2 linked regions of the Rhinolophus ferrumequinum genome follow. The protein of the gene in region 2 interacts with the protein of the main gene of each other region in a biochemical or structural test. Links are inferred from orthologs where the notes say so. Each region holds a gene or a part of one and is shown on either strand. Other genes may lie near its edges.

Region 1 (12,001 bases), on a different chromosome or scaffold from region 2:
TTGTATTTTGAGAAATAAGTGGCAAAGTCACAAAATGAATAAGCCCACAACTTTGTCATTTTAATACAGTTGCTACGCCTAGATATTATAAACCATTAGTGTTACCAAAAACAATATTTGAGGAATATCAATGATTTTCTTTGCATTTATTAAATGTATTGAAACTCAGAATTGAGTACACCGAATAGAGAGCAGCATGTGGGTTGTAAATAACATTAAATTTGGAGTCAGGAAACCTAAATTTTAGTCTCACATTAATTTCTTGGGTGACTTCATTAATTCATTCCACAAATATTTATAGAATACCTTATAATGTTCTGGCTACCGTGCTAAGTGCTGAGCATAAGAGTAAAAAGAAATTGACATTGTCTCTACACTTGTAGTCTAATAGAGAGGACAAATGTTAGTAAAAAAAAAATCTAGTTGTTAATAATACAACTGCTATCGGCGCGGCTGGATGGCTCAGTTGGTTAGAGCGCAAGCTCTGAACAACAGGGTTGCCAGTTCCATTCCCACATGGGCCAGTGAACTGCACCCTCCACAACTAGATTGAAGACAACAAGCTGCCACTGAGCTTCCGGAGGGCGGCTGGATGGCTCAGTTGATTAGAGCAGGAGCTCTCAACAACAGGGTTGCTGGTTGAATTCCCTCATGGGATAGTGGGCTGCGCCCCCTGCAACTAAGATTGAAAACGGTGCCTGGACTTGGAGCTGAGCTGCGCCACCCATAACTAGATTGAAGGAAAACTACTTGGAGCTGATGGGCCCTGGAGAAACACACTATCCCCCAATAAAATAATTAAAAAAAAAATAATACAACTGCTGTTAAGTAGGATGCTGAGTATAGGCTTGATTATGATTGAGATTTAAAGAATGGTATTGAAAGGACGGTTAGGTGTCATCTAGGTGGGTAGGACAGAGGGAACTACCTGCGCCAAGTCTCAGTGGCCTGCATGGGCTAGAAGGCCTATTCTAGGAATAACAGACCAGAATGGCTTGAGCTTGAAGAAAAGTACAAACCAATGACCAGCAATAGGAAGGCAACAAATGGGTCTTGGGATTGTGGGGAGGAGATGAAAAGGAGATGAGAGATCATTGTATTTCAACAAATGAACTCTGGATTCAGTGATGAGAACTGATTTTAGGGGTCAGAAACTCACATGAGATGGCTGGCTAGGAGGCTATTGCTTGGAGTCTAGAAGAGATAACTGCTCTGACCTGCCTGGCTGTGAATGGTATGATATAAAAAAGTGGAGAGAAGCAAGAGGAGGTAAAAGTAATAGGATTAAGTAATAGGCTGGATAGGAAGAAGGTGAAGGAAAGCGAAGTGTTAAGAATGGCTCCTACGTTTCTAGCTGAGATAGGAACAATGGAAGCATACCAAATTGGAGCAAGACAGACTGCAGATCTTAATTCTGTTTCAGGAAAATAAGAGGCAACATTTTCTTTGAAGTCTTGTCCAGTTCTAAAATCGCATGTTTGCATATATAATTCAATCATTTTTGAAAATAAGGAGTAGCTTAATTAGAATAGAAATTCTCTATAGATTAATGCATTAGTTATCAATTGTTACATAAAAAGTTACCCCAAACCTTTGTGACTTAAAACAACAAATATTTATTATCTTACAGTTTCTGTGGATAAGGGATTCAGGAGCAGCTTAACTGGGTGGTTCTGGCTCAGGGTCTCTCAGGTGATGGCATTCAGGATGCTGGCAGGGCTACAGTCACCTGAAGGCTTGACTGCAGCTGGAAGGTTCATCTGCTTCCACAGTGGCTCACTCACATGGCGGTTAGCTGAAGGCCTCAGGTCCTCACTAGCTTCCGGCAATAGGCCTCCATTACTCACTATATGGGCCTCTCCATAGGCTGCTTGAGTGTCCTCATGACATGGCATCTGGCTTGCCCCAAAGCATGTGATCCCAGAGAGAATCAACAAGGAGAAAGGGGCTGTGCCTTTTATGATCTGGTCTCAGAAGTCACATAACATCAGTTCAACTTTATTCTATTTGTTAGAAACATGTTACTCTGTCCAGCCCACACTCCCGGGAGGGGAATTCCATCTCTTATAGGAAGGAGTATCAAATAAATTGTGGATATAGTTTAAAATTGCCACAGTAAAGTTTACATCCTCTACATTTGACATTTCATGAAGTGCTGGGCACCATTCCTCTATAGTAAATAACACTGTTGTATAGACTCAACTAAATTAAAATAAAACTAACGTGTTATAAATTAGAAAACAGCTGCCTAGGATGCTCAGCACTAAAGTCCAGGGTGAGTATTTATCATTTATATATACACGAGTATTTATATCTTTGTATTATTGAGTCATAAATGAGTGGATATTTGGGTTAAAAATTATGAAATATCATGGTAAGTGATTATCTATACATACATGCTTTCTGCATGTTATAAAATACATACTGAATTCTAGAAATTGCACATTGTTATGTATATGAATAAAATATTTTATATGTGAATTGGAGTCAGAGTTGAAGTATTTTAGAGCTTGAAGAAAGTTTACCGATCGTCTGTCTAATCCAGTTCTCTTAATAGATGAGAAAACTGAATCCATTAAAAAAAAAAAAGATTTTTCTAGAGCTCTCAGACAGTTAGTGGCAGAAAGCCACTGTTGATGGGATGGCCGTTTCACAATACTCTTGGAGAGGGGATTTAATGCTCTTTGAGGTCCTCTTCTAGTCCTGAAAATCTATGATGTCTGAAAACAATCTCTGGAAAAGGCAGAATAGGTGTAATGTACTGCCTCTTTTAACATTGTTTGCAAGTAAGTTACACACTAGTTCATTGGATCTTTCAAGGTCACTTAAGCAACTTGTTTGTAGAAATTGGGAATAAAGCCAGTTATAGATTCCCTCATTTAGACTCTTTCCACTCTGTTTATTACCTCTGAAATTTTACCTCTGAAATTTTATTGCTGTTTATCACAAACTAAATTGGTTTTATTATATAAACAAGAGAGGATTGGGTAATAACTTTTACCTTGTCTTTGTTGGAGAATAAAATGCTCATATCTGTGAACACATTACGAATTGTGTACTTATGTAATTTGATCTTATATAGGGAGAGAATAAAGGTAGAAATTGATCCGCGGTTCCTTGACTTTTAGTTTAGGTACATTAGCCATCAAACCTCTATTGACTGTACTGAAATTTTATAGCTTATATCAGCAATTACATTTGTATGGCTTACTAGGCATACAAAGCAAATGATAAGATAGTTTTACTTGTTTATTTTTACTAAGGGCTTTTATATTGGAGAACAAATTGTGAATATGTACTTAAATATGCAAGATAGTGTGAATAGTATGATATATCATTGTTTATAATAGAAATTTCTCTTTTGCATTTCTTTCAATGTAAAAGTTTTAAAAATAGTTGTGATTTTTCATTCTTAAAGCTTTTAAAAATAGTAAATCAAAATTTTTAAAGGAAAAATATTTTAGTATATTATGAGGCTTCAGATTAATATCTAACACAATAGTAAAATCCTTGGCTTAAACAAAACTATATTTTCCAAAGAAATAGTTGGAAATGAAAGGCCTATTTTATCATGTTATCTCTGTATATTCATTTATTTAACAATTATTTATTGGATGTCTCACTTGCCATAGTTCTTACAGTCTATATATTTCCAGTTACTGAATACACATTTGTTCCTAGATTGCCCGTAGACATTTAAAAGTTAGTATCTTCCTAACCTGCCTAATTCTCTTGGTCTCTCAGTTCTATTTCTTTTATACTCATTTATCTCGATGGTACTCGTTGGAAACCCTAAAATCATTTTCACATCTTTTGTCTTACTCCTCAAAGCTTTTTAAAGATTCTATGTATTTCCTTTTCTTCATCCATATAAACTCCCAAATTCAGTCCCTCACTCTAGTGCCTGGGCTTTATAGCAAAAGTCTATCCAAGGAATCCTGATGATCTCACCATCCACTTTCACTGTCACTGAACCTCTGTCCCAAGCAATCCACATGGTTACCAGTTACTAACATAAATCATATTATTCCTCTTCTTAACACTTCTTCTGGATTCCTATTTCTCCTCATGGAGGGAGGGCAAATTCTGAACTTCCCAAACAGATCTCAATTTACCTTTCTGAAACCTCTGGTTTTAAACACCTGTCTAAACGTCAACCCCATGTTGCTACTTGGTCTTCAAAGCTGATTGCCTTTTCCCTGGCTGCTCCCACCCCTTACCCCCCACCCCCATCTCTTTACTCTCCCCTCCTCTGTGGCCTTTTCTTTTCTAGGCAGAGTTAATTGCCTTCTTTTCTGTCTGCATCGACACCATGTCTATCTGTATTACAGCTCATATTGCACAGCATTGTTTGCTTTTCTCATTACTGAATTTAGAGGGCAGGGACCAAGTATTATTCAAACTAGCAAAGGGTTGGAATTCAATGTTTTTCCTAGATGGGAAAACTTCCATTTATAAACCATAATTGCAAAAATGAATTTTCATTTTCAAGAAAATCTTTTACATGTACTAGTGAGACAAATGCTTTGTAACAATCACTGGAATTCTAGAATTCAGAATTAGCCATCCTATTATGGTGGAGTAGAGTAAGATTGTAGCATAGAAGACTTCGTAACAGACTATAATAGATTGGTTTTGGACTTTCTTTTTAATGTATATTATGTGCTATATATAAATTTTTTTTTGTAACTACTGATATCATCAGTTTTTTTTCTGAAAAACAGTAGTTTCAGCAAATGTATGCGATTTTTTTTTTCCCCAGTAGAAATCTAAAATGTTGGAATTAAACCAAGACAGAAAATTTTCAATTAAGTGTCTAATTTTATTTAAAGGTACATATATTTGATGTAAGGAACAAGATCAAATAATGGTGTGTTTAGATTACATTTACAATCAATAGTAAATCTGCCCCTCTAACTATAAAATTCTGTCAACTCAGTTCATGATATTCTTCACAGAAGAGCCTCACGCTTAGGAAACAGTGGCTTTGCTTGGTTTTGTAATTGACAACCCATATTGTAGTAAAACTCAACTTAAATAAATAGTTTTATTTTATTTTTTTACACCACAAAATATAGAAAATACTGAAGAACAGAATAAAGGAAAAAATGCCCACAGAAACACTATTCAGAGACAAATCTGGGTTCCAATCTTTTCTTTTTCCTAGCACCTCATAGGTGTTTTTTTTTTTAAAAAAAAAAAAAAAACATAGATGTAATCATACTGCACTGGATAGTTTCATAATTTATTTTTCCACTTAATACTATAAGAAAACACTTGCCATGATACATTTACAATTGTTACCTAAAATGCTACAGGATAGACATAAAGACATTGAGTTTCCATATTTTTATTTTTGCATCCTATAAATAATACTGTGATGTAGAGTTTATGAAGAAAGCTTTTGCTGTTTCAGATTATTTCATTCAGAAAGAATCCCAGATAAAGGATAACGGGTTCCAAGAGTAAGAACATTTTTATTGGTTGAATCACAGGTTTTTTAAAACAGGTTGTTTCAGTTTACACTCCCACTCAAAATGCCTGCAAGTACTCTTTTATCTCATCGTCCTCGAATATTATTTTTTACTTAAATATTTATTAATATGATAGCCAACTAAAATGTTACAATTTTTGTTCTGTTTGCTGTTGCACAGTATGGAATAAAAATCAAGGCTCTGGAGTCAAATACAACTGGATTTGGTTGTAGCGCTGCCACTTCCCAGCTGTGTTACACTGAGCAAATTACTTAACTCCTTTGAGGTTCTCTTCACTCATTGTTGTGTTTTGTGTTTTTTTAGGTCATAATAATATTTGCACCAAGCACAGGTTTGTTGTAATTATTAAAAGAGATAGTCGTGTAAAAGGACGACAAACAACAGTGAATCCTTCATTTCCCCTTGCAAAAGTATGTTATTAACATATATTTTTGTTTAATTAGTGTACTAGCTAGGAATTTACAAAATACTTTGACTGTCTTTATACACGCAACTTGATGTGGAAGGCTGTACAATTACCTGGATAATTCTTCCACCCCAGGGAGGTCAGGGAGTAATCTTTTAGTTAAAAAAAAAAAAAAGCACACACCTAGTTTCCATCCTTGGGGAACTTGCAATCTAAAGGCTTTTGAATTTCACTTTTGGGGCTTTTAATTGCTCATAGAGGTCTCAAAAGGCAATGATGGAAGTTCACTGAAGAGCAAGCCTAGTGAAAGTGACCTGGGGAGAATTCCCGAAAATGCTACGGTCTCGAGGAAGGCAAATGCCAAGGAAGGAAGGATAGAAATTATTGTTCCTTAAAAGTTAAGTACACTCGCGAGGTTTTATTTGAACCAAAGTTTGTTTATAAAAGGTAAACTATATTGAGCATTGCAAACAGGGCAAGCTCGGCTAATCTAATTTTATGCACTTGCTGTTTGCATACTCATACCAAGTTTTGCTCTGTAAATCCCAGCAGAAAATACCGAGGAGAGGGAGCATGGTATAGATGACACAATACTGGCCAGAAGTCTATCTAGTCCCAGCACTAAAGTGAGTAGGCTAGAGTTAGACTATAATCAAATGTCTAACTTTCTCTAAATTTAGAATATTTAGGATTGGTTGCAACTTTTTCTTTTTAATCGACTCCTTCTAACTGACCAAGAATGTCGGTGATAATTAAAAAATGATCAAATATCTTTGCCTGAATAAAAATCTGCACTCTCGATTGGGGCCATATCCATCCAGGTTTTGCAGAAGTCTAAAAAAAATTGCCCCTGAAAAAGCAAGTTTTTCTAGTTGGGTAAAACCTGCCAAAATAATTTAAACGTTCTTCGTTGCAAATATGAATTCCTCTGAGATAAACCCCCTTCTCTCTCCTGATGCAAGATTTTCAAGCTGAACAGCCAAGTAACACGGTCGCTTTGGTTCTGGATTCCCTCTGGGAAGAATTCCTCCTTGGGGGCGATGTGTTTTCTGGCACCAGCGGGAGTTTCAAGTTTCCACTCGCCGGGGAGGCGGCGGGCGCACTCCGGACTTGGGGTTGGGCGGCTGCGCTTCCCCTAGCCCGCTTCATCAAGCCCAGTTCTCCCTGGAAGGACTCCCCCTTCCACGCACTCGCCTCAGTTCCTTCGGGGCTCCGGCGCCCGCAGCCCATTCCTCGCGCTGCGGGGACCCGGACGGCGACCCCCAGCGACGCCCCACGCGGCCGGCGACGGAGAGCCCGAGGGGCGGGGCGGGGCGCGAGCGGCTGTGGCGGCGGCAGCGTTGGCTCTCCGGCGGCCGCGCGAGGCCGGCTGGCCGGCAGGGGAGGCGGGGGGCGCAGGGCAGCCCCGCCTCTCCCCCGAGGAGCCGCCGGGCGGCCATATTGCGGAGCTGTCTGCGGTGGCGGCGGCGCCTCTCCTCTCTAGCGGCCCCGCGCTCCCACTGTCGCCTCTCCCTCGCAGCCGCGCCGCCCGGCGGCGCCGCACAGCGCCCCAGCCACACTCCGGGCGGGAGGACCCGCTAGCCGTTGGGGTAAGCCGCCGGCGCTCTCCCTTCCCCCATTCCCTCTCCCGGCTCTATCGGAGACGCTGAGGTGGCCGCGAGAAGTTGCGGGGCCCCGCGCTGCCCGGCGGCCGCGCTGCTAGGGCCTCCACGCGCTGGTGTTCGCGCCCCGCAGGCCGCGGCGCCGCCACCCTCACGGCCCTCACGGCCCGGCCGCTCCCCCGGGCCGGCGGGAGCCTCCAGGCCCAAACCGAGTCGTGACCCGGCTGAGGCCCGAATATGCCGCGGAGCGATTCTCCTCCCGGCGGGCGTGGGGTCCTCCTGAGGTGTCGGCCCGGGACCCCCCCACCCATCTCCCCGCCCCGGGGGACTGTCGCGTTCCCGCCGCCTGGGCGCGGCCGCGGGTTCGGCCTTGCGCGTTGCTTCAGGGTAGTTTGAAAATACAGATATTAAGCGTAGGTAGAATTATAATTTGCATTGTAGATTAGGAATTTATTAGAACTTGCTCAGCCTCCAGTTTGAAAGTAAGGGTGTTGAATTACTAGAGAGCGAGCGTTCTGCCCTAGTGGCACAGGGATGTTGCATTACGGGGTTTGGGGCGCGGAGCTACTCCTGGCACCCGCGAGCCGAGCTCGGGCCGCGGTTCCTGGCCGCCCGGCTCTACCTGCTGCTGCTGCTGCTGCTGCTGGCGCTGGCGGCGGCGGCGGCTTTGGAGCCTAACTTTTCGGGCCCTTGAGGCTATCCGATTTAGTATCTTAGACCCCACTAGAAAAGTTGGGTACATTACGTCCCCCTTTCCTTTGAAGGGCCCTAAACTTAATTCCCGGACTAACTCTGAAGGGGGCGTGTGGCGGGGGCGCACAACACTAATTCAGTTTAAAAAGAGCACATCACCTATACAGAATAGGTCATGGTTCTTTAACCATCACCAATATTTGTGGGGTTTTTTTATCTTGAGGTTGGAAATGTAAAGTCAGCTTCACCAAGATGTATTTAAAATACAGTTGAAATTTTGTGAAAGGCATTTTAATGAATCTTTGGCACTAAGAGTGGTATGTAAATGCAAAAGCCTAAGATAATAAGGATTTATTTGATAAACGGGTACTGGACGTAGACGTTACAATCTGTTTGTTTGCAGAGCGAATTTTTTTTAGAACACTAAATACTCTTATATTTCTGACGGAGGTCTGAATGAACAATTGCCCTGTTCATTTTGCTGGATAAATAATGGCTTAATCCAATTGCCAAAACAACATTAGTAGATTTGAGAAGAAAGACTAATATTCAGACTTGCATTTTTCTTTTATTTTTAGAATTCCATTGCTTTCACGAGTGTGCTTTATCTTCCTTCAGAGAGACTAATAATAACTTACCTTAAATATGACAAGGTAACACTTCTTTGAAGTTAATAGTATGCTGTAAAAAGGATTTCACTGACTTTGTTTCTTGGTTTAATCACTTTTATATAGGATGGAATTTAGTAAACAGTATATTACTAGTAAGGAATACATAGATGTAAATTGGAATTCTTTACAGTTTTATTTAAGTTAGACCAATTTGATTATGACATTTAGAAATTATTAAATTCTTGCCCTTGTGGATTATACACTGTTTTGTTTAACTCCTTTATTCCCACACATGAAAGAGCACTAGGAGGGCTCAGAAATATTTGTAGAATAAATGTAATTAATTTAGGTGTGGGGAAAGTATGTGCGTCTGCCCTTTGTTTTGGACCTTGTTATTACTTAATAGGAAATCACAAATTCACTGTTTTTCTTGTGGTAAGAAATGACAGACTGCTGTTCTTTCTCATTAACTTGCAGTAGTCTCAGGGAGGGGGAACAAGGATTGTTTATTGCTTCATCATTCGCAGAGCAGAATTGGATTTTATTATTCATTTTTATCTTCTGCAGGCTGTTCAAGTCTTTATGTTTCCATTTCAGTCTCAATCTTTTAATCTACTATGCATAGTCTAATAGAATCTGAAATGTTGGATGATAGTGGGAGTCTAGTTTTTTCATCCATTTTTAACTTACTGCATTTTTAACTTATGCCATTAAAAATGGCAATTTTAAACCAATATCTCCCAAAAACCAAAGCCTAAAAAAACACGTTCTATTAAGGTTTTAAAGCCTGAATTATGCTGGTGGAGCATACCTGATTGGGTATAGCTAATAGAATTTTACGCTTACTGCTGTGACTCTGGCAAGTCAAGGAAGTCACCCTTTGTTGGATGTCTTGGACCTCCTGTGGACCAGGAACTAGTGGGCACTTCTTACCTACCCTGATACTTGGGGTACTGGATCAGTGAACTGGATTGAGTTTGCTGTAGACTCCACCCTTCCTTACAAGGTTATTTTAAACCCCAGAGTGTTACTGTGGGCTAAAGGCTCTTGCGGAACTTCCCTGGCTTCTGTAGCCAGTATATTGCTCACCTCTTACTGTGGTACAAGTGGCCCTATTCTGACCCCTGAGAGCTCCTCAATTTCTAGCCTCTTTCAGAGAAATCCTGCCTTTCCTATTCATTTTAGTTCTTGGTATATTTTTCAATATTAATTTATATTGAACATGTATTTTAAACCATATTTAAAGACTAAAAAATAATACATTTTAGGAGAAAGTGAAAAAACCCGGAAAGATATAAAGGAAAAGGGTCAAAGTCCTCCTCACTTCCTGGAACCTCCCATCCTCTTTTCCCAGTCCTGTTTTTCATAGGTAATTACAATTAGCAATTCTTGTGTATAGGAAATGTCAATATTTATGAAAGGATAAACATATACTTTTTATCTTATTGTGATTTTAAAGTGTTTAAAATAAGGTCATTTTGTAGCAGACATTGAAAGGGTGTTTTATTATTGTGTTAATCACATTACTTGATGTTTCTCAGATTTTCATCATTTGAGTGAAATAACACAGTGGAATTTAATAATTCTCAAGTGTGTTTATGTACGTGTGCAAATTTTCTTTGCTCATGGTTGAAGGCGAGGTTCATTTTTTCTTCCTAGAATATGGTATATAAATCATAGTGAAAATGGTGTGCTTTGATAAAGGGTTTATGATTTGGGATAGTGAAATGTCCATATAGTATGTGTATCTTTGTAATGGGTAACTGTTTGGACAGGAAATATGGTCCATACAATTCACTTCTTTATTCATTCCATTGTGAACTCTCGTTTTAGCTTTCTGGAAGAGGGGGTTCATTCAGGTTAGATATATGGATTTTTTTTTTCTTTGAGTAGTCAATCCTTGCAAATTCACTAATTTTAAATACTTTTATTTCTTCGGTAGATATAAATTTATATATGAGTAAGTTTTATATTTTCTATTGTAATATACTTTACATTTTAATAGTAGAATTCTAAATAACATTTTATGGAAGTTATATATAAATAAAGGTAACAAGACTTTTTACATCAAGTGATGTAACCCTATGAATAGAATGCTCAAGAAATGCTTGTTACTTTTCTACATAATTTATATACATTTTAAATAAACTACTTATAAGTTCTAGTAAAGTTGATTTGTTTGAGAAAGATACTCTCTTTACTGTTAATCATTTAGAGAAGAGGTCCACAAAACTGATCTGCAAGGCCAAATCCAGCCTGTTTGCAAGTTTTTGTAAATAAAGGTTTATTGGAATGCAGGGATGCCCATTTGTTTACATATTGGCTTGCTTTTAAAAGAGCTATTGTGGCAGAGCCTGTACTTTTTGCAACACCTAAAGTACATACTATCTGGCCCTTTACAGAAAAAGTTTGCCAACCCTTGGTTTAGAGAAAAAAATATCCTGTTGAAAGAATGTTTTAGATACAGTATCAAAGAAGGAGGTATCGCATTGTTTTTTCTCCACCATCATAGAATTTATAAAGTTATGAGTTATCTGTATCAGTAACTGATACAGATATTTTTTTCTGAGTTGTAGGTAGTATCTATGGGCTTTCAGGACCTTAAATGTTTCTTTTATTCGTGAAAAGTTGAAATTAAGAGGACTGGCTGCAGGTGCAGTTGTGAAATGAGCAATCTTCAGTTTCAAGCCCTTATATCATTTAAGATGCTTTGGCTACAATAACAGAAAATTCTGAAACTGGCTTCAATAATGAGGAAATTTATTATCTTATATAATAAAGTGCAGAGGCTCAAGAATAACTCAATGATCACATCAAGGACTTATTCTGTTTCCAGTTCTCTGCCCTGTGGTCTTACCATTAGTTTCATAATAAGACTGCTTTCCCGTGGTCCCAGTTTTGGCTATAGCAGGACTAGCATCCCATCAGACATAATAATATCCAAAGGAATGAGAAGGATTGTCTCTTTTCCAGAATCCCCCCCTGCAGATATCGTAGTCTTGTTGGCCAAGATTGGAACACATTCCATACCTAGCCAGTCACTGGCAAGGATAATGGAATTGCCCTTTCTTCTAACTTCATTCCCATTAGATTATTTTCCTTATTCATATACCAGATGTCTTGGGTTCTTTCTTACCCACCCAAAATCAGACCTGACATTGATCTGTCATACATAGTATAGCAGGAAGATGTGAG
Region 2 (11,532 bases):
ACTGGGACACAGGCGCAGCGGTGAGTGTGGCCCCAGTGGCCAGACATGGACCCTGACGACGAATGGGTCAGCGCTATGCGTGGAGCAGAGTCTTGTAAATCAGTGACGGGTGATTAGGTGGTCACATGAAAGGCACTCCCCCTGCAGTGGATGAAGCCTCCATCTGCGGGTGGGTGAGGAGGCAGAAGCTGGAGATGACGGGGGCGTCATGGACAGGATGGGGAGTGGAGGGGACCGCAAGCCCTGGCTCACTGGGGTGGGGCAGCCAGGCCCCGGAGCACCCGGCTGTACAGAGGGGTTTGGGGTGGGACCAGAAGGATCAGGTTAGACTTGGGACCTGAGAGACACGTCATGGAGCTCCTGCAGGTGCCACCTCATGCTACCCTTCACCGGGGAGGAGCCAGATCAAAGTCCGGGCTGTTGGCAGTGTGCCTATACAACTTGGCACTCAGGGTCCGAGTTCACATGTGAAACTAACTACAGCTGGGGAAATCCACGAGCGAAAGCAGCAGGAGCCTGAGAAGGCCCTTGCCCAGCAAACTTAACTGCTGACAGCACAGGCGGCCCCTTCATGATGTTCACAGGACCTTCCGGAAGTGAATGGGAGTGCTGGAGCGCCTGGCTTCTCCACCAGCAGGCATGTGGTTCAGAGCCGGCTGCATCTGAGCTCAGTGGGAAAGGCCTGGGGCCTTGGAGCCTGGAGCTGTGCGATCTCACTGCCCTCCCCTGCCCAAGCCGTCGTTCTCAGTGTGGGACAGCTGGTTCTGGGGGAGGCCGGGTAGGGTCTTTGCCCCAGTGCAGTGGGGAGCTGGGAGCCCAGGCTGTTTCCCAGGCTCTCTTGGATGTGTGTCTGGGCCATCATCCTGTCATCCAGCACAGGCCCAGCCTCCAGGATGCCCCAGGGTCCTGATTGGAGGATTGAGGGGGTGACCAGCCCTGTAGGAGCTGTCTTGACATGGACAAGTGATCACTGCCCTGGGGGGCAAGAGGGCATCTCCTGGTCCACCCCAGATGGCAGGCACACCCTGCGGATAAGCACTGGGCACAATGCACGCCTCCACTGATACAGTCTGGGGGGGGTGGGGGCTCCTAGACAGCAGTGTCCTGCCCCCAATGCCTAAATGATACATAACCACTTTAAGGGGCTCAGACCACAGAGGACACGTTTCAAAACCCACGTCAGTCCAGAAACAGGGTTTTCTGGAACTGACCTAGAGCTCGGGTTATCCACGTGCCCTTCCCCATCCCAGGGCTGCAGGGCTGGGACGGGGCGCATTTACTGGGCGCCTTGGAGGGAGGTGCTGAGAGGAAGCAGTGCTCTCCCGGGCAGCCTGAGGCCTTGCAGAGACCCTGCTGGTCAGAGGGACTGGCAGTCAAGTGCGCCTGGCCCCTAGCTGCCCTTGAGGGCTCCTCTGGACTCTGGCACCTCCCCTCTGCCCCACCTTGCTGGTTCCACCTTTGGACCACTGGCCCTACCTGGCCCTGCTGGATGCTGGAGCTTTGCCTGCCTTTCCTGCCACCCTCTCCATTGGCCTAGCCTTCCCCTGCACGCCGGTACCCCGCCTCAGGCTCACCCACACACCCAGTGGACCCACAGCCTGGGGACATTGTCTACGGGACGTCTCTGTCCTTTTTTTGGTTTCCCATGTAACGCCTTTGGCAGAGCTCAAGGTTCCTTCTTTGGAGTTGGGGCATTTCCTCGAGGCTGGACAGTGGCCACGTGGGGACAGAGCAGGCAGACGCCAGGGGGCGCACTGCAGAGAGCTGGACACCAACCGAGGGTCCTTTGGGACGTCCGAGGTCTGCACAGGCCAACACTGGCCACACAGGCTGGGCCAGGGTTTTAAATCTGTTCAACAGTTGCAGGACCATGGGCATCACACCTGGCACCTAGGGGCAGCAGAGGAATGGGCCCAGCCTTCCTCCCCCACTGAGACAAGCAGCAGACACCCAGGCTCCTTCAGGGAAGTTTATTTCCTGGTCAGAAAAGGAGAAGCAGGGACAGGTTCCTGTGCGGTCCAGCCCAGGGCCTGACCAGGGAGGGGGAAGGAGGGGAGGCACAGGGGTCGGCTCCGGCTGTGCACACTTGGTCCCACAGTTGTCCTGGCTGGGTCTGGGGAGGGCCTGCCGGGGATGGTGGCACCGAGCCTGGGGGCAGAGGTGGCAGGCCCAGAGGACGGCACATGTGGAGGCAATAAATACTGACAGGCCAGGCGTGCCACTCCAGGCTGGCAGGCCCAGGTGGGCCAAGTAAGGCTCGGCCGCTGGCTTTGTCTGCCGAGGGCTCTGGGGGGGCCTTGGGCGCTGGGTCTGGGTGTTGCCCGCTGGGACAGATGACAGACAAGGCGAGGCGTGAGGACTCCCAGCCTCGCAGATAGGACTGGAGTTTTGGCAATTTGGCTTTCTCCAAGCCCCTGGAGCTGTCCCCACAGCCCTGGCTTGGGGGGGAGGGGCTGGCCAGGCCCTGGCAGGCCGGGAAGCAGCAGCAGCAGCAGCAGCAGCAGCAGCAGCGTCCCACTGCCCTGGGCCCCAGGGACTGCGGGTGGGGCGGGGGCTGGGGAGACCACATGCTCATGCGGACACAGGGTCAGAGGTTAGTGACGGCCCCAGAACACACGTTCCGCATGTTAAGGCATCATGGTTAGACAGTGACAGCGACAGAGGAACTGACCAGGGAGGGTGACGGCTGGAGATGACCTGCCCCTAGGCCCTGCATCGTGCACCCCACCCCCACCCCATAGGGGGAGATGAGCAGAGTCAGGGCAACCGAAAAGGCCCTGGGGGACCTGAGCACCCCGAGACCCCATTCAATGCCCCACTCCCTTGGAAAAGCCAGGGACTCAAGTTGGCTTAGAGCAGGGGGAACCTGGAGGAACCAAGGGGGAGGCGGAGGCCTGGGCTGCAGCTTCCCTCCCCCACAGCACAGGATGAAGCAGCAACAACACTAGATCACCGGGAGGCTGGGGCCTGTGGGCTGGGGAGGGCCGGGCGGGCCAGGAGGCAAACCAGGGGAGATGGCAGCGTGGGCAGGGGCCCTGTCAGCACTTTGGTATGGGGTCGGGTGGGGTGGGGTGGGGTGGGGCGCATACATCCCTCCGTCCATCGCCCTGCCCGCCTCCCAGGCCGGGCTCAGTCCTTCCACTCCTTTTTGATGGTGAGGTTCCACTCCCAGGACAGGTGGTCAGTTTTGTCGTCGTCTGTGAAGCGGGACTTGATGTTGTAGCTGCCCCGTGCCAGCATGCCCTTGGGCGCCTCCTCCATGGGGGTCAGGAACTCGTACTCCTCCGCCCGGGGCCCGTAGCTCCCCACCATGTAGTCGGTCTTGTCAACTGCAGGGCAGGGAGGCGGCGTCAGGGAGCCTTTCCTCCTCCCTCCCGATCCTGGCCCCGGGGCCACCTCCCTCCTGGGGGCCAGGGCCTGGCGCCCACCCTCACTCACTCTTGACGCCTTTCCGGTATGTGTGCTGGATGTACTTCATGCCGGACACGATCTCCCGGTTCACCTGCCGGGAAGGACCCCACGCGGAACTCAGCTGGGCTCTCCAGCCCCGGCCCCCCCAGCGCCTCCCTCCCAGGGCCCCCACCTTACCCGGAAAGAGATCTTTATCCGGTATTCCACTCCCTCCTTCAGCACAAATGACTGCTTCTTGAAGCTCTCCAGGTCGCCTGTGTTCAGGAGAACACTGCGCTAGGAGGCTCAGCCAGGGGAAGCCGCACCTGGGCAACTCCACTGGGACTGCATCCCCCCTGCCCCCCCCCACAGCCAGAGCCTTGACCACTGGGCGGCCCTTCCTGTGCTCCCCACGAGAGGGCGCACGGTCTCCAGGAAACCATTTTTAGAGGAAGCAACAAGGTGTCCAACACAGCCTCAGCCAGGGACCTCAGAGGCGCCACTCACCTGTCAGGTCCAGCTCCAGGGGGCCTGGGGCAGTGCTACACACCAGGGTCAGGCGGGTCACAACAACGTTGGGGACATTGGGGTCTGTGGAGTGACAGCAGGTTAGAGCTCCACCCCTTGGCGTCCCACCTCAAGCACACAACTTCCTGCCTGGGGTAGGGAGCCGCACGGGGAACTCAGAAGAGTCACAGGTGTCCCCTCAGTCTCAGTGCCGTCCAGCCACTCACCAGCTGAGACGGCCACGCGGCCCAGCAGGGCCTCCTTGTACTTGCGCAGGCTCTCGTCGTCTTTGTCCAGCTCCTGGATCTCCTGGATGCTCTTCTGAGCCGGGGGCTTGTAGTTCACTGAGTGCTCGTCCTCCTCGTTCTCGGCCGCAATCTGCGCCAGCTGCTCAGCTGTGGGCTCCTGCTCTGCCATGCTCACCTCTAGCTGGGTCCGGAACACCTGCAGGGGGGCGGAAGGGGCTGTGGCAGCCTGCAGGGACCCAGTGTCTCCCCCTCCCGCTCCCTGGCAGCAGGGGGCTGTGTTGAAGGCATCTTTGCAGGTGGCCAGACCCTGTAGCTGCAGCCAAGGGGTGATGCAACTTCTGGAGCGGGAGGGCAGCTGCAGCCAGACCTTTGCAAAGGGCCTAGACACAGGCTCCTGGGGCCAAGAGGGGCCTCACTAACTTGCCTTGCCCGTCTCAAGGGACTAGGCATCCCCAGGGGGTGGCACCAACCCCAGCCTGGACTGGCAGAACCCGACTTAGTCACCTAGAGTTCTGCTGCTCTGAAGTGCCCAGGTCCTCACCCCAAGGTACCCCTCCTGCTGGTTCAGGGAGCTGCTCTGACCAGGGACACCCGTTGGCCCCGTCCTGGCCAGAATGCAAGACCTCTATCCACAACACAGGTCAGTTCTGCCTCGCCCTGCAAACACAGGGCTCTCCTAGAGCTCAAATAACTGGCCCAGCCTGAATCCCGCAGGTAGGTCCCAAAAGCGCATGGGGAACTTTAAGTGTTTGCCCACATTCTCTCCCGCTGTGATGGTTTGTGACCTAGAGTTGGGAGCTGCTGCAGCTCCTGGGTATTCTCAAGACCCTCTTCGTGAAGCAACGGCTAGAAGAGCCTGGAGCAACACTGTTGGAGCAGGCGCAGAACAGTACAGGAGGCTAAGGATCCTTACAGCACCCCCTAGCATCCCGGACGGTGTGTCTGAAACCCCCGCAGACCCCTCTCGTTGTGTGGGAGGTGGGTCAGGGCCAGCTGACCCCGGACCTCAAGTTGCCACGGGATGAGAAACAACGCCTGGCAGCCGGGGTCTGCCCGAGTACCAGATCCCACAAAGGGCCGCTCTGAGCGGGCCGGCCGCCCCAGGCGGGGTGGGGCCGCCAGTCCCTCCAGGCCTCCCAGGCGCTTCCTCTGGAATTCCTCTAGAAAGCTCACGCCCTAACGCCAGCAAGTGCGGACGCAGGCGACAGGATCCTCCAAGCGCACTGCCGGCGCCCGCACGGCCGCAGGACCCGCAATCAGGGCTGGCCGAGGGGTGGGGTGGGGTGGGGTGGGGTGGGGTGGGGTCGGGTGGGAAGCTCGGAGACGGCCGGGGGCAGGGCGCGCCTTCCCCAGGGGAGGGGCGTCAGGCCTGGTGCACCCGGCGCGCACCGGCGAGGGGGCGCCGCGCACGAACGGCGGCCACAAAGAGGCCTGCGCCCCCCGCCCGCACGTGGACGCCCGTGCGCCCGGGGACCCGCCCTGCGCCCCGGCCGCCGCCCGCTGTCACTGTTGCCCCCGCCCCCGCCCCACGCAGATCCCCCCGGCGGGAGGGGCGGACAAAGACTCGGCCCCCGCCCCCTCCCAGCTCCGCCGCTTTCGCCGCCTCCGCCGCCGCCCCTGGCGCTCACCGGAGGCTCGACCGCGCCGCGCTCGCGCTCCCTCCCGCACAAAATGACGAACGTCGGCGCCCCGCCCGCGCGCGCCCTGCCGGCCACTTCCGGGGTCACGCGATTTCCGCTCAGGCCGGGCGGGCCGACGGAGGGCGCATGCGCGGGCGAGGGGTCTGCCGGGAGCGCGCGGCCGCCATCTTGCGGGGCCAATCTCGTGGGCGCGTCCCGCGTAGGCGGCTCGCGAGGCCGGTTTGCCCGCGAAGGCTGGTCTGGTTGGTGCTTCTGCGCCCCTTGCTGCGGGCATTTTTCAGCTCGGGCGTCCCCACGGCTCAGCCCGCGAACTCAGACGGGGACGGGGCAGTGTCACCGTCTTGCGTGGACCCCACCTGGACGTCGTGCGTTTCTGCCGCCATCTGTAACGCGCGGGACTGTCCCTCTGCAGGCGCGCAGCCCACGTCCGGGCCCAGCGGGCCCTGCTCTGGCAGCCAGCGCTGGCCTGGTCTCACAGCCCGGTGGTCGCTACACCCGGGGTCCGCTCCGGCCGCTCTCCCAAGTGAGCCAGCCCGTCGGTCCTCGCCATTGCCTCACCCTCCTGGAAGTGAACACTGGATGTTCCGTCGAGTTCACACCAACCACTCACAGGACGCTCTGTGGGTTCCCGTCCTGTCCAAGTCCCGGGGGTGGGCATCTCCTGGTGTCTTGTGCACCCAGCACAGACAGTTGGGAGGCTTTGGCTAGAAATAAAAGGTAAAAATTGATTTCACCTGGCCAAGGGTTTGCAAAGCGGAAACCCAGGCAATACCCAGAGGGTTCAGAAGAAGAAAAGCTAAGAGTTCTCATAGGAAAAAGCAGGCTGTAAGAATCGGTCCAGGGCGGGCCCAGTGGCTCAGGCGGTTGGAGCTCCGTGCTCCAAACTCCGAAGGCTGCCGGTTTGATTCCCACATGGGCCAGTGGGCTCTCAACCACAGGGTTGCCAGTTCAACTCCTCGAGTCCCCCAAGGGATGGTGGGCTGCGCCCCCTGCAACTAGCAACTGGACCTGGAGCTGAGCTGCGCCCTCCACAACTAAGACTGAAAGGATAACAACTTGACTTGGGGAAAAAAAGTGCACACTGTTCCCCAATAATAAAGGCCGTTCCCCTTCCCCAATAAAATCTTTAAAAAAAAAAAAAAAAAATCCGTCAAGCATTCTAGTGGTGCTGGATTGGCCTGAGATTACAATCTTCCAGATGTCGGTGGTTCGGACCTGGGAACACTTTTCCAAGCCCTTCAGAGGCTGGCTGTAGGATATATACGTATTTCCAGGCATCCACGCACAACTGGGAAGTTCCACAGTTGAAGTGCTCACTCAGGCTGGTGAAATAAAACCCATTCCTCACGCTCAGCCCATTTGCACTGAACCAGTTTTGTTGGCTTGACTATAGGAACTCCATTTTGAGTCATCTTTTCTTCACTCACTCCTCACTTCGCAGCCTGTCCAAGGCTGTGCACGTGACCCTCTGCCCTGCCATCCCCTGCGATGAACAAGGTTCAGTGTCCAGGGCACGCTTGGGCCCAGCACTGCCCTCCTGGAGAGGGGTCTGGCCACTGTCCTGTGCCTGTATGTTCCCCTCCAGACTGAAGGAGTATTTTTGGGCCCAGCACACTTGGCTACCTTGTGAGCAATACTTCAGGGGAGCTGGTCACTGAGGAACTCCTCGCCTCTCATGACTTCGGAAGCTGCTGGCACAGATGACACAGTTACTTCAGTCGGCTCTTTACCACAGACCCCAGTGTCTCCATTTGTGTGCTCTAGTTGTATGGATTTCAGACCTTGGTCCACACACCAAACAACATTCTGTAGCACCAGGGGCCCCATAAAATGTGGGCTGTTTCGCAGAGCCTGCAGTACCCAAAGCCTCGCCCGGCACTCCTCCGTGTGGGGTCCAAACCCCTAAATGCCCCACCTGGGGGGTGTGCCACCCCACCTTCACCCCCCGGCACTTGTAAAATTGTAATCACGTGACAATGGACTCATGCCTCCTTCAATGATGGTTCAACTCCAGGACGGTAGGGCCCTTCTGTCTGGTCTACACTGCCTGGCAGGGAACCCAGGCTGACAGAAGTCATCGCACACACACCTCTGCACCGTTTGCAGGAGGGCATTTGGGGTGATAGAACAATGCGTAATACTGAGCTCAGTATGTTTTGGAAAGATCTCTCTCCCTTTTTGAGGTGTATTTGCAATTTTTCTGTAACTGAAAGTTGCACTATCAACTTTATAGGCAGAAAGTTTGGCCAAAGGCAGAGCATCCTAATTGGTGTTCAGTGTGTTGCTTCTGAGGCAACTTACTGGGGACCGTCCCGCTGCACAGCCACCTGAGTCATGGCTCGAGGACAAATCTGCTTTCAGATGACCCATGTACCTTGAAAAGAAAACCCAAACTCTGTTATAGAAAATTTAAACATATGTGTATTAGTAATCTCTTGCTGTGTAAAATATAGCCTGGAATTTAGCAGCTCAAAACACCCAACCCTTATTATTTCCCATGGTTTCTGAGGATCGGGAAGCAGCGTAGCAGTGCGGTTCATGGTTCTGGCTCCAGGTCTCTCAGGAGGCTGTGATGAAGCTGTTGTGCAGGAGGGCCACGGTCTCCAAGACCTGCTGGAATTCCAAGTTCACGCACGTGCTTGGGCCCTCAGTTCCACACCCGTGGGCTGATGGCCTGAGGATTTAGTTCCCTGCGACCTATAGCTCCCGTCCCGGCCCCTCCGTAGAGCTGATCACACAGGGCAGGTGGCTTCCTCCAAGTGAGGCCTCAGAGACAGACAGATGGACAGGCAGAGGCAGACAGAACAGAGAAGGGGGCAGCAAGCAGTCAGATGAAGCCGCTGCGTTTCTTACGATGTCATCTCAGAAGTGTCATGCCATCACTCTGCCCTACTATACTGGCACGCAGATCTGTCCTGGCCCAGCGAAGTATGGGACTGCAAGGTGTGAGTGCCAGGAGGTGGCCCACCGCACACCAAAGTAGAAAGCGTGGTGTCATGAACCCTGATGGACCTTCCACGTGGCTTCAGTGGCTTTCCCTGGCAGCCAGTCCCGTTTGACCTGTCCCTCTTCCTCCCCACACACAGCTTGAAGCAAATCTCACACGTGGTTTCCACCATGTGGATTTCAGTGTGTGTTTATTCCTAAGGAAAAGGATTCTTTTTTTTGGATAAACAAATTTGAGGGTCCCCACGATCACCCCCTTAAGTTAAAAAATGCGCTAGAACAATTCACAGAACTCAGAAAAGCTCTTCACCTGTGATCGCCGGTTTATTATAAAGGACGCAACTCAGGACCAGCAAGAAATGCGCAGGGTAGGGGTGCGTGGGGGGGGGACTCCGGGGAGCTCCACCCTCCCAGCACTTACCCCTGTTCACCACCTGGAACCTCTTCAAACCCCACTGTTTAGGGGCTTTCATGGAGGCTTCATTAAGAGGCAAGACTGATGAAATCGTCGTTGGTGATTAACTCAACCTACAGCTCTGTCCCCTCTGAGAGGTCAGGGGACCAGGTTGAGAGTGCCAACCCTCTAATGATGCCTAGTCTTTCTGGTGACCAGCATCCATCTTGACACCACCCAGAGTCATCATCTCATTACCATAAACTGCTTGTGGTTGAAAGGGACTGGTTACAAATAACAAAAGCCACTCCTGTCAGGACATTCCGAGGGCTGGAACTCTGGGCTAGGAATGGGGACAAAGGCCCAATCTACCTTGATTGTGCCACAGTCAGTTTTCTGTGCTTGTGCCCTCAGGTGCGGAGGAAACTGGGACACCTGTGGTTGAGACTTCCCTTACTGGCACTTCCGGATTACTGGCCTGCCTCCGCCCTCCCGGTGTGCTGTCCTACGTCTCAGGCTGGACAAGCCCCAGGTCAATTTTCAGAGGTGCCATGAGCTCCGGATGGCAGGTTGGCCTGCTGTGCCACCCTCAGCATTATTCTCAGCAGGCGTATTTCATCAGGCATCGCAAAGTGCTCATTTCCTAATATGCCAGCACTGCTTAGCTGGAATTCTTTTTTAAAAAGCTCTCCCCATCAATGATTTAATCCCTTCGAAATACAGTTTGTATAGAAAACAAAACAGATTATATGTTTGTTCCTTTCATTTGCCAATTTTCAGAATGAATCATTTCGTGCCCAAGGAGTCCCCACCCTCAACCCCTCAACGAGGACAAAGAAAGGTTGTCTCTGAAATAACTGCTGGTGACTTGAGTGGCTTGTTTATGATGGATTGTACATCTAAGAAAGTGGGATGCTCAAATTAATTTTTACATATAGATGTTATTTTACAATTAATGAATGTGCTAAAACATTTTATAATTTGTTTCTACAACCTGCATACGTAACATACAAACTAACTGTCTAGGGTAGGTGACCACAGACACATTGATATATTGAAAATTAATGAGATTACCTCCTGGTTTTATTTTTACATTAAAATCTTTAATGATGCATTTTTTATTGCTAATTTCACCCAAATAGTCAGTTAATCCCAGGGTGACTCATTAATAATAACAGTTAATTAATGTAAATCATATAAACATTTATGAAAATTACACAACCATATGTAATTCCATAATAACTAATATATGCAAATTAAAAAACAATAAAAAATAACAACAAAAAACCCCAGCAGGGTATGTTGGGGAAGCCACCATGAAATATAACCGGTAAGGATGAACTCAGTATGGTACAAATGACACAACTAACAGTGAAGCGGGTGGAAGAGAGAAAGGGACTCACATTTTGGGCACCAGCACGACCCCGGGACTCCATGGCCCGACACAGAAATAACTGAACCCAATGCTGTGCCCTGGTCGGAGAGGTCTCCCGCGGGGGATGGGTCAGTGGTTCTGAGACTAGGTGAGGTGGACACCTAAACGATAGCCGACGTGTAGGCAAACATCGTGTAGGTGATGGGAGCAGTGAGAACACTGCCAGAGAGAAAAGTTACAAATAAGGGGAGGAGAGAATGACTGGGTTGCGGGCTTGGAGTGAGACCGCAGTGAACTCACGGTTTTTTCATGCGTCTCTTCAGCCTGAGAGGTACAGAAATGAACGCAGATGGGTGCACAGGAGCTAGTGTGTGCATTTCCTAGCTCTGTCCCCAGGGGCCCGGTGACAGTGAGCACACCCAGCACACCAGTGCCCATGAAAGGAGCTGGGGAATAGGTGAGCTTGGAGCCTCTCCTGGCACCAGAGAGTCAGGAAATGCTTTCAAAAGGACCGGCATGTCAAAAGGGCACAGGAGGGACCCTCAAAGTTCCCAACGGCCAAACCTAAAATAGTCTGAGCAACAAAATCAGTTACCCGATTCTGATTCAGAGTCAAATAGCCACGAGTCCACACTGACATAACTGGCTGGATAAGCGGTGCGCAAGGGATGGCTCGTTCCTAGAAGATAATTCTAATTACTGTTGAAGGATTGAGGGAAGTGTGAACACTCACCACGGAATCCACAATAATTACTACCACAGGACGCTAAAACTCACGGGCAAAACAGATACTCACTTGTCTCCAAGTTTCTCCCCCAAGATATTATGGGTTACGAAGGGGAGAACAGCCACTTTACAGTAGAGAAACCTGAAGTGAGCCAAGTCACGTGGCCAGTTGCGAGACAGACCGACAGCCATCGAGGACCCTGTGGGACGGACGGAGACGGAAACATGCCAACTGCTGTATACTTGCCAAGAATACCTAACTCTGGTCTAATCATAGTGACGTAATTCCCAATGGAATTGACCTTC

Evidence for each region.
Region 1: the proteins of ARHGDIA (region 2) and RDX form a complex in vitro, tested with the Homo sapiens proteins (2 studies listed by BioGRID and IntAct). The link is inferred for Rhinolophus ferrumequinum from reciprocal best matches to the Homo sapiens genes ARHGDIA and RDX.

Annotation. Positions count from the first base shown.
Region 1 is NC_046294.1:78,765,700-78,777,700, reverse strand, and holds the start of RDX (radixin), read left to right. Parts: upstream 1-7,341; 5' UTR 7,342-7,490; intron 7,491-8,794; exon of another isoform or gene 8,795-8,848; intron 8,849-12,001. UniProt on the Homo sapiens protein: Probably plays a crucial role in the binding of the barbed end of actin filaments to the plasma membrane.
Region 2 is NC_046304.1:54,654,839-54,666,370, forward strand, and holds ARHGDIA (rho GDP-dissociation inhibitor 1), read right to left. Parts: upstream 5,896-11,532; 5' UTR 5,774-5,895; intron 4,342-5,773; 5' UTR 4,315-4,341; coding exon 4,125-4,314; intron 3,982-4,124; coding exon 3,898-3,981; intron 3,666-3,897; coding exon 3,589-3,665; intron 3,503-3,588; coding exon 3,439-3,502; intron 3,330-3,438; coding exon 3,130-3,329; 3' UTR 1,957-3,129; downstream 1-1,956. UniProt on the Homo sapiens protein: Controls Rho proteins homeostasis. Regulates the GDP/GTP exchange reaction of the Rho proteins by inhibiting the dissociation of GDP from them, and the subsequent binding of GTP to them.